Struthio camelus: one gene and its partner. The protein of the gene in region 2 purifies or fractionates together with the protein of the main gene of each other region. This does not show direct contact. Links are inferred from orthologs where the notes say so. Each region holds a gene or a part of one and is shown on either strand. Other genes may lie near its edges.

Region 1 (7,740 bases), on a different chromosome or scaffold from region 2:
GTTAGTATGACCTATAGCTTTTGCCACTCCGCTATCATGGCTATGGTTCTGTAATCATAAAAGCGTCTACAAGTTGTTTCTTATTTAAGGAGGAGGTGGGTTCACAACAAAGAAGGCTGAACGGAAACGTTCCAAGCCCAAGATTCATTACGCCGTATATCACACTTCAGTCCTAAAGCTCCAGCTACATTTTCCATACAACCTCCAGAAGTTATGGAATATGGAAATATCACTAGAACCTGTAACTTTCCAGTAGAAGTCAATAAATTAGAGGAAGATATCTGAGGTTACAGAGTTCAGACCTCTGGCTTCACAATGAGAACAAAGACGACCTTTTCTGACACTGTGCAGTGTACCAAGTGCTTGGATCAAAGCAGATTCGGAAAGTCAGTAGACCTATCCATAAGGGGTGGATGACAGGAAATACAGTTCCAGGAAGCTCTTGAGATTTTTTTTTAATGGCAACTGGTTAAAATCCGTCAATTTGAAATATGTCTCATTTTAATTTAACTATAAACTGATTACTTTATAGAAAGTGTGTGCATAAAGATTACCTGCACAGTACTAGCCCCCAGGCTATCATTCCATTTCCACTTCAACCTTAAGAAAACGGGGCTTACCCCCATTTGTAATTTCCAATGAAGGCATAATGCTACTGTCAGTCATTTCCCTAGTCTTCACTCACACATCTTACAGCCTAAGACTTCAAGCACCTGTAACATTTTCACAGGTTAACCATGAATAACTCAATCCATAACATAATCATGACATGGCCTAGAGGACATACACACTTATTTGAAAATTTAACACATGACCAAAACTATGTCCTATTACATACTAAATACCCACAGCAAATTATTCTCTATTGCCAGAACTATATTCCTGAGAAACTGCAGAGAAGTTAGCCGAACACAATGTATACTTTAATCCATACTAGAATTCAATCTTTTAACAGAGAACTAGTCAAAAATTTAGCTAAAAGCACAACTCAGGTTTCACTATGCAAGGACAATGCACGACTTTAGATATCAATTAGATTAATGGCCAAATGAATTTTACATTGTTTGAAACTAATTATTAGGATACCTACCTTGCGACCGACACAGTATTAAGAGGCTTATTATGCAGTCAGAAAAATGGTGTAATGTATTCAGGAGAACTTTCCTATCCTCTTTCAATATCTGACTTTTCAAAAGCAACATGGAGCCAAAATACTAAAGAAAAGACAGAGAGAGGAGAGAGAGAGAGAAACTTCTAAGTTTCTCAAATGTGTAATGGAGCCTCTGACCACAGAAATACCAAAACTGTATCAAAGTTCACTCTGTACAAGTAAGCTCAATTTAATCTAAAACAATGGTCTCCTGATATCACCCTGAACATAAGGGAGAAACATGGGCACTGAAACCCTTTCCATGCTGTAACGGGGTTGTCATATGATTAAAGTAGGGAACTGGTAATTACATACCTTTCACTCGGCTAGTAGGCAGCACTTGGCTTTGACCAAGTGACTTCAGAATAAACTGTCCAGGCCTTTGGAGTCATTAAAAAATAATGAAAGAAATTCCCTCCCACAGAAGAGACAGCATGATCAGAACTGGGGACATTTTAAGTTTATGTATGCACGCAAGTGAGAGGGAAGCTGCACGCAGTAGGGAGCTAAAGGAAAACTAACTCAAAGAAACATGCCTGCACTTTGAAACCAGCAAGCTCCACATTCAGCACCTATTATATGACTTCCACAGTTCTGACTCACATTTCCAAGATTTCTTCCTACTAATAAGCTTATCCTGAAGAAGCACAACACTGTTATAATGGAAAATACTTCAATATGTATACTTCACTTCAAAGTGAGAACATTTCTCAGGTAGCTAATAACCAACTCAAGAGATATCTGACTGTCAGGACCAAGGTGTTGAGCTGTACTCTATTTGATGTACAGCCAGTTCAGAAGGCATTAGGGCAATGTCTTGTGACAGCTTGTGTTGCTAGGCAGAAACATTTGTCATGCGCCTTCTCCACCAGCATCAACTTTTCCCAGGGCACACTGGGTTATCCTAAGACTCCTCTGCATGCTGCCCTGTCTACAAGACGAGGACACAATTTAAGGCGGGCTTTGTGGCGCTTGCAGAAAATGCGTAGAGGTGCAACTATCGTGAGCCCCAGAGCACCGACAAGAAACTTTCTTGCCTCTCCCCTACTAGCAAGGAGATGGTTCCCACGAAGCCTGTGTCAGGTGGCAGTGGGGTGCCCACCACTTTCCTTGGGGAAAAGACCTCTCCCCTTTTCCCGACACGTCTATGCTGGGCGGAATGGGAGGGGGCAGAGGTGCCACAGGGCTTACCTAGCTTCTCCTGGCTGACTCCGTTGGAGCTGCTGCAGTTCTCCACCAAGGTGCTGGTCTCCTCCCGGTGCAGGGCAGCATCCCCGTCCGCAGGCGGCTGCTCGGGCTTGGGGCCGCCGCGAGGGTGCTGCCTGCCGCTGTGCGAGTGCCCGTGGCCGTGGCCGTGGCCCCCGACTCCGTGGTGGTTGAAGAGGCAGAGCCCCAGCAGGTTGATGATGAGTCCTGCCACCCCCACGCCGATGACCACGAGCGGCTGCTGGATCTCGTGGGGCTCCGTGAAGCGCTCGATGGCCTCCAGCAGGATGGTGAAGCAGAGGGCGGTGAGGAAGACGGCGTTGACGAGGGCGCCCATCACCTCGGCCCGCACCCACCCGAAGGTGTTCTTCTTGGTGGCGCGGGTGCGCTGGGCGAAGCGCACGGCCACCAGCGCCACGACCAGGGCCATGACATCGGAGAGCATGTGGAAGGAGTCGGAGAGCATGGCCAGCGACGACGTGACCCGGCTCACCACCACCTCCACCACGAAGAAGAGGAAGGTGAGCGCCAGCATGCACAGCAGCCGGGCCCGCCGGTTCTGCCACCACCGCGGCCCGCCCGGCCCCTTCGCCGCCATCCCCCCGCACATCGCGGCGGGGCAGCGGCCGCCGGCGCGGCGCGGAGCGGAGCAGGCGCGAGGAGAGCGAGGAGCCGCCGCCGCCGGCGGTTGGCGCGGCCAACGGTCCCTGGGCGCGGCGGCGGAGCCCCGAGCGCGCGCGCGGCCCCCTCCCCGCCCCCGGCGGCCCGGCCGCCGCCGCTCCCTCCGCAGCCGCTCGGCGAGCAAACTTTGCACCCGAGCCCCCTCACTCTTTCCACACGGAACCCGAGCCGGCACGGCCACGCCCCCCCGCCCGCGCCCCATTGGCCGCCGCCCCCCCCGCCCGGCGGCGCCGGCCCGCCCCCGCCCCCCGCCTCTCCCGCCATTGGCCCGCTCGCCCTCGCGACGGCCGGCCCCCGCCCCCCAGCGCCGCCCGTTGGCCGCGGCCGCACCACGGCGCTGGGCGGGGCCGGGGCGAGGGGGGGCGGGGCTGCGCGTGACGTAGCCGCAGAGCGGGCTGCGGTTGGCAGAGCCGGTCGGCTTCTCTTCCCCCCTCCCTCCCCTCCCGCGGCGAGCGGGACTCGTGCAAAAGGTGCGCTTCACACGGCCCCGGCCCGGCGCGCGCGGGGGGGCGGGGCTCGCCTGCGGGCGGGCCGCGCCGGGCGGAGGGAGGGGAGGGGAGGGGGGGCTCCGCTCCATTCCGTTCCATTGCGGCGAGCCACGCGAGGCGGGGTGGGGGGCCTTTGTGACGTCACGCGGGGCCGTTGCGGGCAGCAACGGCTGCCCGGGGGCGGCCGGGACCCGGGGGTGGCGGCGGCCGGCTCTGCGGCCCGGGCCGGTGCGGGAGCCCCGGCGCCGCGGCCAGCCGGCCCCTCCGGCACCGACCGGCTCTCTGTCGGCGCGGGCTCTGGCCGCCGGCCCCTCGTCCGCCGGTGCCTTCAGGCTGCCCCCTCCCCGCGAGCCGCTGAAGCCCCTCCTCCCAGCTGAGCTTTTTTTCGTTCTGTCGGACGACAAACGCGAGAAGGAGCAGCGCCTTCCTCGCCGGTCCCAAGGCACCGGGGAAGGCTGCAACCCGGCCACGGCCCCTCTGCACCTCCCACCTCCCCCCCCGCCTGCTCGCAACCGGCAGTCGAGCAGCACCCATCCCCAACCCGGCCAAATCCCTGCTCCCGTTTAACAGCTGCCACAGGCTTCACAGCGGTACGTCCAGCCCCGCGGCTATCGCTCGCAGCCCAGCTCTCGTCCAAGGCCCCCCCGCCGTCCTTCCCCTAGCCACACCTCGGCGCCGGGCTCTTCTGACCCCCGCGGTCCGCCCCGTCCTGTGAGCGGGCGTCGCTGAAACGTTACGCTCGCCATGAGTTGGGAAGAAAGTAGTGTTACGCTTACGTCTAACTCCCACAAATGCAACAGCCCCTTTCCCCGCTCCCCGGCACCACCGTGCAGCCAAGTGAAAGACTCCGTTGCTAGCCTGAAGTTTTGGAGCTGTCAGTGAAAGCAAAGCAGAAGGCGAGAGCGGTGCGGTGACAGGTGCCGTGGTGCCCCTGTGTTTCATCGTTCGCCTCCAGCAGCCTGAGCGCCCAGGAGTTTCTGCAGTGGCTCCCACTGGGCAGAAAGAAAGGTGGTTTTCCGGGAGGCAGCTGAGGCAGGATGATGTTTCTTGCAACTGGCTGTTAATTCGATTGCTCACGCAGCAGCAAAGTTATGTTGAATGCATTACATACGTTATTCTTGTTAATCTGTGATCTTTCCTATGCCCCCTCACACTTTATTGCACCCGCCCCAGCCTGAAAATCACCAGCCAGGCACTGTCATCACTGAGTGGTGAGTACATCTCTGTTCTGGGGTACGGACACGTGGTCTTCCATCTCCATTAGTTGCTTCTTCCCTGTACAGAGTTCTAAACTGTTGGATAAGTGTTATTAAGATTTTTAAAACATATGACTGGGAGTAGCAAATATCAAGAAGTGGCATCTAATTACTTCACTCATTCCTGTATGTGGTATAAGTCAACAACTAATACAAATTTAATCAGTGTTTTGATATCATCATTCCTGAGCATCCTGGATGCTCCTACCCTCTGCATGGTAAACATCCAATTTTTCTCTTTTTTTGCCACAGAAAGCAATAGAATGAGTGGTGAGGAAATAATAATTAATGAGTAATCATTTATGGTTAAAAATGTGGAGAGAAGAAGGAAGTAATTTTTCTTGAGGAAGTTTTGAAAGGCTGTAATGTCACAAAAAAAATGTATATATATATATATATATATATATATATACACACACACACACTAACAGATAAGTCCCTAGATACTATTCATTTTATTGAATGTGTTGCAATTAAAAATGAGAGAAAAGGGGAAACAGATGTTTAAACAAATATTTTGAAACATCTAGAAAAAAATCACAAAAATGTAAGAAAAACGTACCAAGAACTTCTGTTTCATATCCTTGAAATGGCAGCAAGTTCATCATTTTACATCTTTTCATGAATTTGTTTTTCTGTTTTTAGTTTGTTTGAGCAGGGCTTAGGACTTGTGTGCCTCAGCCCACTGCAGTGAGCTGAGCAGCACATTGAATGGGAAGGGTCCAGATGAGCTCCAGCGATGACATCTTACTTTATCTACCGTGTTCCACGGGGCCAACCAACAAGGTAGCAAGAAATTGTCCAAGGGCGTTCCATAAATGGAAAATGAAGCGAGAGGAAACAAACTGCCGTAGCTATTTGTAGCTGTACAGCTGTAGCTGTATGTATGAGTATATGGAGGCAATGTGAAAACTATGATGCTCCACAAAGAAGATGTAACGAGAACACAAAAGCCTCTTGCTATGCTTGGAGTTTCGGAAGGGACCATGATTTAGGGTCTATACAAAGGTCCCTGGCGGCTGGAGCTGGAAAGCTAGTTTCATCTCATTAGTTAAGTGGCGGGAGGCGTTGACACTTCCACAAGAACAGATTATCAACAAGCATAACTGAAATCTGTAGCTCAGGATTGGCTTCCGCTACACTCAGCAGACTCCTACTGAATCCACATCTGTCTCCCTTGTTGCTCTCATCCTTGCATGCCATTTCCTCCTCTCCCCTTACTCTGCAGTGTCATAGTCTTTACAACATACACACAGCTTAGGCACTACAGTTGCCACAGTGCTGACCTATGGCCCTGAACCCCATTTTCTGTGAGACTGTTTATATGTCAAATGTTTTCAGTTGTTCAGCTGTAGGAAACCATATGGAATGCTTTAATGACCACCGTAAACAGTACTGGTAAGAGAGGCAGTAATTAGATATAACTATATATAACGTTCTTTTCATGTACCTCTCTTCCCGTATGCCCTAATACCATTTAATAAGATGTTATTTGTAGTCAGGAAGCTGACCATCAATTATACTAAAATGGAACATGCCCATGTTCTGTCCTTCTCGCCCCCACAAGACGCCATTAGTTAATAAGGAAGGATTATCAGAATTTAGGAAATATAGGTCAAGAAAACTACTGCAGCTCAAGCCCTTTAAAATTCCTGCAGGTAGGGAGGGTTATCATTTTACAGGGATTCAGTGTTGAGCCAATGGAATTTAACTAGGGAAGTGGGAAGAACAAGGAATTTCAAAGTCTGATGTCTCTCACGTGCTGGACTTCGGGGATTACTGAAACTGTTAGTTGGTTGCCCCAGTGATGTCGTTACAGTCTTCCTAACGACTGGAAGTACCGGGTCTCTACCTCAGAGATATAGGATAGCAATAAAGCAGTACCATCCTTACCAATAGAACTTAATCAACATTGAACACAAACTTCATGAAGAGTTTTGCCTGACTTATAGGAAGGGGGTTATGACTTTTTTTTGTATCATTTCTTATATAGTAACAATATCCAGATCGGTTTGTAATCCCTTTAACATCTCTTCACCACAAGTCCTCCTAATCCACTCGAGCATACCATACGAGCGCACAATTTGCTGCCATCTTCTCCTTACAAGATGGCATGTTCTGCCCTTGCCCAGGGATAGCCTGCCTGTCTTCCTCCTCCTCCACCCTCCACCAGGCTGAATTCTGAAATCCTCCGGGGACCAAAAGCCACAAGACATGGACTATACACCTCAAGGGAGTGGGAGGCCATGAATCCTTCCCAGGCAGGAGGTGACAACGTATCCTCAGGCCTTCTGCTCCCTGATGAGCAGGGCTGGGCGTGCAGCTTTGTCTCAGGGGATCCCGGTGGACCCAGCCCCTCCGTTATCTTGGTTCCCTTCAAGTAAAGAGACTTGGGTACCTGTAATCCCCGACGTGTGCCACTGCCCAGAGTGCCGCTCCTGGATGTCAGGCACAGACCGGCAGCTGGAGCAGACATGAGCTCGCATCCCTACCTTCGCCCTGGAGTCTTTCTCATAAACTAGAGTGCGCTACACTGTTCTTCCCAGGCTTTTCTATTGTGTTACCATACATTAGCAACCAACAGGAACAGGGACGGTTCCTAAATTTAGGACTGTCCATGTGGCAACCTTTTAAATTGTAGGTCTAATAGGAAAGTGACTGATAAAGGTCACCTTTATCAATCAAGTCTTTACCCAAAGCAAGCCATAAGGCAGTGTGCTTACAGGAGAACATTTTGTTCCTGCTTAAGTATTTGAGAAGAATGCTATGTCTTCAAAGCAGGGAGGGCTCCGCTTTTTTTTTTTTTTTTCTTAAGGCTTCCAGGCACTGTTTGTGACTCACCCAGTTCGTCTCTCGGTTCACCTTCCAGTCCACGCATGTGGAATAAGCAGCTTCCAAATGTATTTGCTTATTGAAAATGTGTTCTGAGGGGAGAAGCAACTCTGAACCTCCCATGTGC
Region 2 (7,587 bases):
ATTCAGATAATTTTTTTTTTTCCTCTACTGATAACAGGAGTCAGGCTGACACCTAATCATAGAAACTTAAACTAAGGCGTAAAACACAACTTAGATTATATTAAGTGAAGACAAAGTTAAGTACTCTTAAGTCATTCTTCTCTTAACTCTAACCTTAAAAGGCTTTAGCATCTTTGCAGGGGAAAATAAAATTAAAGTGAATAGGGCCCTTACCCCAAAAGGCAAAGGAACAGATATAACCTAGAGAATGCTTTCTTTTTCCTGTGGGGTTTTAGGAGCCTTTATGGGTATGAAAATTATTAAACTGTACTTCTTTTTTAAGATCTTAGTTCAGTTCTTAGTGTGTCATAAGTTTTAGTACCTTCATGGAAATCATATTGTGTCACAGAGATTATCTTCATCTTAAAGATCTTGTCAAACACTTCAGAATGGTACCAAACAATTACAATTTTTGTAAATTTACTGGAACTGTCATCTGAATTGCCCTTTTATAAGGCCTGTTGCTCCCACTACTGAAGTATGATTTAAGTAGAAAGAGCATCTCTTCTAGACTCTTTTGCTAATTAAGCACATAATCTGGTTTGAAAAAAAAAAAAAAAAAAAGCCAAGTCCTCTCTTTTGTTGTTGCTTTCAGTGGAACCAAGTCACTGGCTGGGAGCAGGGTTTGCATTCAGACTGCCTGTCATTTGTTACAGGGAAGTGTCATCGCATTGGAGGAAATTTCAGATCAATTATTGATCAATGAAAACACAGAAAATACTAAGGTAGTAGAAAAGATTTTGTTACTAAATATTCTTATTTTAACACTGAAAAGATATTTCACTGCAACTCTTGAAGCATGATTTCAAAAAGCTCATCATAGTACCTGAAATTATAGTATGAAATGCATGGACTTCTGTAAGTATAATTTTTTCATTTTGCCCTGCCAGCTTTGTCTTTCATTTAGTCTATTTATGTTTTTATATATCTCAAACCATTGCAGTCCCAGAACACATTGCCTATCACTTTGACATACAGGAGCATTGTAAATGTTAAAATACTGAATGCTTGCATGTGCACTGTTAAGTAAGATCCTGCTTAGTCTCCGTTCTTCCGTGTGCTTTGTGATGTGCAGATGTTGTCTTGCACAAATCTGCAGAATCACAGCCCTACTATAAAACTAAAAGCACCACATAGGAGGAACTCTGGATTTTCACTGAAGAAGCGATATCTAATTTTTGAGTGTTACAGTGCCAATAAGTTTTAGACAGTGGCATGTAATGGAAATATGCCTCTGTGTTTTTACCTGCTAACATCAACAACCAACATTGGAGTGAGTTATCTGGATTTATTCATAGAAATCTTTGTTACACATGAAGTGGTTACAGATCATACGTAGTCCTCCTTCTGACCTGGAAAGTATGTCCCTAGCAGGGATTTTCCATTTAATCTCTTGTGTCAAACCAGAACAAGCTTTTGCACACTGTTTCTGAGGCCAGTGTAAAAGCTGTTATGAAGCCCCCTCATGAGCTCGTAAGGACTTTCAGTTCAGATCATTGATCTGGGGGATAAGGAACATCTGTTAAGGATGGCTATTTGTTGCATTGTAAATATTATGTTTGTAAATTACAACACAAAAAAAGGTAAGCAGGAGATAAAAATGAAAATATAAAAGGACGTTCTAATTCCAAACTAGATCCCTGAGCTTTTTCGGTAGGAAATTTTACCTCAATACTTTCATATGGTTTAAAATATAGTCTCCAAAATACTAACTACCTCAGGCTCACTCTACATAGCAATAATCAGGTTAAATGCATGTATGGGAAGAAAGCACATTTTTCAGGTTATTTCACTATTAATGATGTTTATTCCATCCATTTTGATATCCACTGAAATGCAGTTACTCATTTCTCTGATTGGTGTCTCTGCATTCTTGTTTAGAGCCTTTGAGGGACTTTTGGAAGGGGTTTGTCTCTGAGACAAAAGCCAATTATAAACTTGGTTTTAATAATTTTTTTAAATATTGTTATTTCCATTAATGATGTGGGACCCTAATCTCATCACTGTTACTATGACCTTTTGCAGTTTAATACAAGTACACATCCAGTGTTAATGCTAATGATGCTAGGCGTACACTGAGAAGAGACTAGACTATTGAACAGGAGTATCTATTACAATTAATGAGGAGATTTTTAATCCAAAGTTTAAGATGGATTTAATTATTGAATTTAAAATCTTCTCTCCCAAATATATGAATGAACGTAAATGTGTTCCATATTCAAGGATCTCAGTTCTCCCCAACATTTACTTTTACTGTTATTCATAAGTCACACATCTGTTAGCTAGCTGCCCTACTGGTTGTACAAACTAATGGTCTTGTCTGAGACTGCTGCATGGGATGCTTTAAAAAAAAAACCCAAAACACTACTACATATTTAAATAAATGTGAGATCCCAGATGCATCTTACATAGATGCCTTGCACTGAACAGTAGCAATATTAACAATTCTGAAGTGAGCAGAAATCTTGAATTCTGCAATCGCTTCTAAAGCATGTGTATTTCAAGCTGCGGGGATAGTTTTCATCTGTCTTTTTGATGATGGATTGCACAAGAACATTCCTAAATTTTTTTAGCTAAAGATGTTTACAGATTTAAGTTTCTGTAGAACTGAGGTAGAACTTCTGAAAAGTATACTAAATAAATATTTGAATTAAGCCTTAGCAGATCTTTCCTATCATCATTACCTAAGCCTTAATAAGAGAAGAAATTGTATGGCTTTTCTATTTTTGTGAAGAGATGAATATTCACTGTGTTGAAGTTGTAAAGACTAACTTGTTTGCAGCTTGTAACTGAAATAACCTGCAGCAGTCTTAGACTTCGACGACACCATCAAATGAAAAAAATCACTCATCTGCATTAGTTTATAATGACCATATAATGCCTAAAGGCAGAATATCGCAAAAACATTAGTATTTGGATTTACAAAGTATTTTACATATTCTGATGGTAACTGAACAATTCTGAGTTATTTATACTAGTGAGCAGACTAATACATGGTAGACAGAATACCAGCTGGAGAAATCTGTATCTGTATGGGGGAAGCTTAGCTTGAGGGGGTACAGGCCATACGCCTGTGTCTTAAAGACTGTTTCTTAAACGTGGGAAGAATAAAATAATATTAAAATAGATGGTTGTGGACCGAGCACTGGCTGTAAGGGGCGTAGAGCCCTGAGCAACAAAATCCTCTGACTTACAGCCATGCTTCCATCAATGCTCCTGGCATTTCCTTACTGCTTTTCTTTCAAAGAGGCACACGTTGGCGTGAACAATAGAAAGAAGAGCTCTGCGTATGTGCCGCGATACGAACTTCTGTGGGCAGTGAAATATACCTGCCTTTGAGGGGGTGACTGGTACTGAAACACAGCCCTGGGTGCGTGGGGCGTGTACTTCTTTAAAACAGTGTTTAGTGAAGGGTTGCAAATTAAAGAAATTTAACAGCACCAGATGAAAGGCAGTGGCTGTAATTATACAGCATTTATGATTCAGCTCACAGACACTGGGGAACACTGACCTTGAAACGAGCGTTACAACCCAGGCAGCCTTTGGGGAGGAGGCAGCCTCTGACAACGCGAATCGTGAAGTGATGCAGCGTCACATGCAAGCGCTGCTAAACTGAAATCTCATTTATCAGTTGCTGTGCGGAAAAGTTCCTAGTGATCTCTCAAGGAATTGCTTTTGTCTCTGCCATCCCCTGCACCGTTTTAAATATTGTTTTTCTGCATCATGTCTTGAACTCTCATGATTTGTTCGCTCTCCAGAACGGAAGGATATGACTGTGAATCAAGCTGAGTCAGGAAGCTGCTAAGGGTAGTAACCTTGTATCTGGGGTACATAAGGGATCCGGGGGAGGCTTTAAGGAACGGGTTTGGAATGAAGGGAGCAGTGCCTCCACTTAGCTATTCCTCAAATGCAGAAAGCAAGGCTAGACTCATTCTCCAGTTCTGGAAAGGGTTTGGTTGATGTGGACTAAATTGTTTCAGTCAGTGACGGAAAGAAGCCTTGCCTTTATCCAGCCTGATAAATGACTGATGCTGTACCACGACGGATAAGTTTGCCTGAAAAATGCCGTGCTGGAGCGCACATTTATGACTTTCCAAGGCAATTCAAGTAGATTTGCCGTCTCCCCCAGTTATTTTCCCTCAGCTGGGGATGCGTTATTAAGGTAAGCGTCGTGTCTATCACAAGCTCAAACGTGTCATACGTAAAACCCGGTGTAAACCACTGCAGCGGGACGGTGGGACGGCCCCACAGCAGCGCCGCCGCGCGCCCCCGCCCCCGCCGCGCGCCCCCGCCCCCGCCGGGCACGGCGCTGGGCGATTGGCTCGGGACCACGTGCGGGAACGCCGACATCCGCGGACTGAGCCTCGATTGGCGCGCGCGGCGCGGAGGGCGCTCCTGATTGGCTAGGGCTGCCGCCCTCCCGCTCGCTGAGGTGGTGATTCGCTCGGTCCGTTGGAGCCGCGCGCGGATTGGGCAGGGCTTCACCTGCGGAGCCTTGATTGGCTTGGGCTGAGCGGCGCGAGCGGCTGCACCTGCTGCTCGGCGCCTGCATCCCTGAGAGCGCCGAGGGGGAGGTGGTGCGCATGCGCAGCCGTGGTCGGTGATGCCCTGGGAAAGGCGGCCCGGTTTGGCTAGCGGGTCGCGGACGGGATTTCGTCGCCGGTAATTCGCCTGCCGCGGGGAGGGGGGCGTGCTGGGGCGGCCTCTACGGCGGGGGCTGGCCGTGCGCGGCGGCTGCCCCCGGGGGTTGAACAGGGGCGCGGGGGGGTCGCTCTTTTTTGGTGTCGCTGCGTTTCGTAACTAGGGCAAGGGGAGGCAGGAGGGCCGCAGGGGCGGGAGTCCCGCGGGGGGGGGGGCCGTCCTCCCTCCGCCGCCCCTCAGGGAGAGGCCGCCCCGCCGGTGCGGGCAGCGGGGCCGGCCGAGGCCGCGTGTGCCTTCCTCTTTTCTCCCCCCCCCCCCCCCCCCCGCCCCGCGCAGGGGTGCGCCTCGCGCGCCGGGCGGCCGTTACTCGCCGTTAGCCGCTCGCGACGCCAGCGTTCGGAGCGCGAGGCAGGGCCGCGGCGCCCCGCCCTCCCGGTGCGGCGGGGAGCCCCGGGGCCGCCCGACTCCGGCTGTGAGGGAGGCGGCGGAGGAGGAGCGGCGCCGCGGCGGCCGGCGCCTCCCCTCGGCCCGGTCACCGCGCGCCGCCCTGCGGCCGCAGCAGCCGCCTGCCCCGGGGGCGGCGTTGGCGGCTCCTGCCGCCGCCGTCTGCCTCAAGGTAACGGCCGCTGGGTTTTTCTCGGGCACCACCTGAACGCCCGGTGGTCGCATGAGTCGAACCTCTTAAACTTGAGGAAGAAGCGTATTCCTGGCCGTTTTACTCAGGAGAAACGTAGCAACGCAATTGCTTGAGGAGGGACTTACGCAAATGTGATATTACAGTTTGGGTTATATCTTGCTAACACACTCATCTTACCACAGCATTTTTAAGATCTATGTAAAAGATAGGAAAGTACCATTTTTCATCCCAAATAAAGGAAACTAAAACGTTCTGTAAGAGCTTGAGTGTTTTTCATGGAGGAGTTTCAGCTGGATGATGTCTGGGCAGATTCATGTGCATGTAGCTGTATGGGGAAGGAGTGAGGTGATATATGGTTATAGATGAAAGGGCAGGGGAACGCCCATCGACCTGGATGGAACTAGTATTTGACAGTGGGAAAAGCCTATGGTGGTTGATGTTGCTTGCAGGACCTTTAGACCTTTGAGTGAGCAAAGCTCTTCATGGCAATTTTCTTCACGTTCCGCTTGACAAAAGCAAATTTTGCTCTTGTAAATAGTTTAAATAGTTTTGTGAAAAAGACTCTTCAGAGTACAGTGAAAAGCACTGAAAAGTTGGTAATCCACAAAATCCTGCATTATGTTTAGTTTCTTGCATCAAAAGGAGTAACAATAGCCTTCTATGCGTGCTTTTAATCTAATAGCATGCGTAGAATATACGAAATGCCATGGTGCAGCGGTCCCCAATTGACATAGTTACGTTCTCCAGTATTCCATAGAAATTGAGTGATTTGCTGGGGAAGGGCCTTAGGAGAAAGAAATTGGTTTATAGAAATTATAGAAATTGATTCAATTTGATTACTGGTTCAGATTGATAAGGAATGAGTAATTAAAAGCATTCTTAGTTCTTAAAATTGCATACATCCAGCAGTCGTGTTCTTGCTGCATTGTTGGCCTGGCAAGGTAAGGGATCAGGCTACAAGCCCTTCCTTGGGGAGAAGGGGAAGGCAAAAAAAAGTCTTAGGATTGTACAGTAAAAAGAAATTTAATATTAAGGTATAGAACTTTCCTAACATGAGAGAATAGCGAGAGAATAATAAGAATGGGAATAGAATGATTATAGTCTTTATATCTTGTTTGGATATGGTTCTTTTTTTCTTGTAGCTAAAATCTTGAGTAAAATTGAACTAGCATTGATAGTTTGCAATGATATTTATAGTTTACAATTTTCAATTCTTCAGATAAGCAGGATGCACTTCCAGTGGGACTGGCTGTGCTTGAGTGTCCTGATAATTAGCCTAGTAACTGCAGAAATTGAAAATGAAGAAAATCGAGATACAGATGTTGAAGTGGAGGATTTTGACAAGCAGTCAGAAGATAATAATGTTGACAAAGATGAATCTTCCTTAGAGGTAAGATTATAGATGTCTTTAGTTAAATCTTGTTTAATTTTAAGATAGTTATAATTAACATAGAAATTAGTAAACAAACGCATTTTAGAAAGAGCAAATTGCACACATTTGACAGCTCACATGGGTGACAAACTCACAAAGGTGAGGTTTTTCAGTTGTTGTGTGAGACATGGAGGACAAGCTTTATGAATGACTCTACTATGTGAAAGTGGAAAATCAGATTTCCTACCTGTACTTAGATAGTCCTTAAAAAAGCCTTACTAGTCTATACTTCAGTCTGGAGCTGGAGCCTTTAGTTTTAAGTCATTCTTGGTAATATACCTTGCAGCCTAACACGCATTTATAGAGAAGAAAGCAGAAAATGTTGCTTGTGCTTATTCTCATTTTGACTTCAGAACAGGTTCTTAATTTCATCAGTCACAACTGTCTGTCTTACCTCCTCTTTATTTATTTCTTTGTTTACTCTCAGAAGATCTTTCAGCATTTGTTATGCTGTACTTCATAATAGATGTGGACACTTTTTTTCTGTTTTTAACTGCGCAGCCCAACTATTATGTGCCAAATAGAAAGGACTGTGGGGGAGAGTGACAAATCTGTATAGAAAGAAATAGGGAAGAAACAGAGAAGTGGTGCAAGTTCAGTAAACTTTCTATTTTTTGGGTTTTTTTTTTCCCCCTTTGATTTGTAATTTATCTTTGTTCCTCTAGAGCTGCTTAAATGCAGGGGTCGATTGCTGTTTTTACAAGTTTATGCAGCTATATGTTCAAACTGAGAAGAGACTTCCAAGCTCTCCATCCTATTGAAAAATGAAAGGACTGTCCGAGCATTTTCTTCTACAAACATGCTTAGTTAGCTTAGTAAAACTTAAATATCTAAATAT

Evidence for each region. The genes of interacting proteins can lie anywhere in the genome.
Region 1: the proteins of CLGN (region 2) and SLC30A1 purify together in Homo sapiens (co-immunoprecipitation; 3 studies listed by BioGRID and IntAct, with this or other methods). This does not show direct contact. The link is inferred for Struthio camelus from reciprocal best matches to the Homo sapiens genes CLGN and SLC30A1.

The regions. Positions count from the first base shown.
Region 1 is NC_090944.1:113,829,762-113,837,501, forward strand, and holds the start of SLC30A1 (proton-coupled zinc antiporter SLC30A1), read right to left. Parts: upstream 3,068-7,740; 5' UTR 2,967-3,067; coding exon 2,342-2,966; intron 1-2,341. UniProt on the Homo sapiens protein: Zinc ion:proton antiporter that could function at the plasma membrane mediating zinc efflux from cells against its electrochemical gradient protecting them from intracellular zinc accumulation and toxicity.
Region 2 is NC_090945.1:33,019,076-33,026,662, reverse strand, and holds the start of CLGN (calmegin), read left to right. Parts: upstream 1-4,539; 5' UTR 4,540-4,701; intron 4,702-6,536; 5' UTR 6,537-6,545; coding exon 6,546-6,707; intron 6,708-7,587. UniProt on the Homo sapiens protein: Functions during spermatogenesis as a chaperone for a range of client proteins that are important for sperm adhesion onto the egg zona pellucida and for subsequent penetration of the zona pellucida.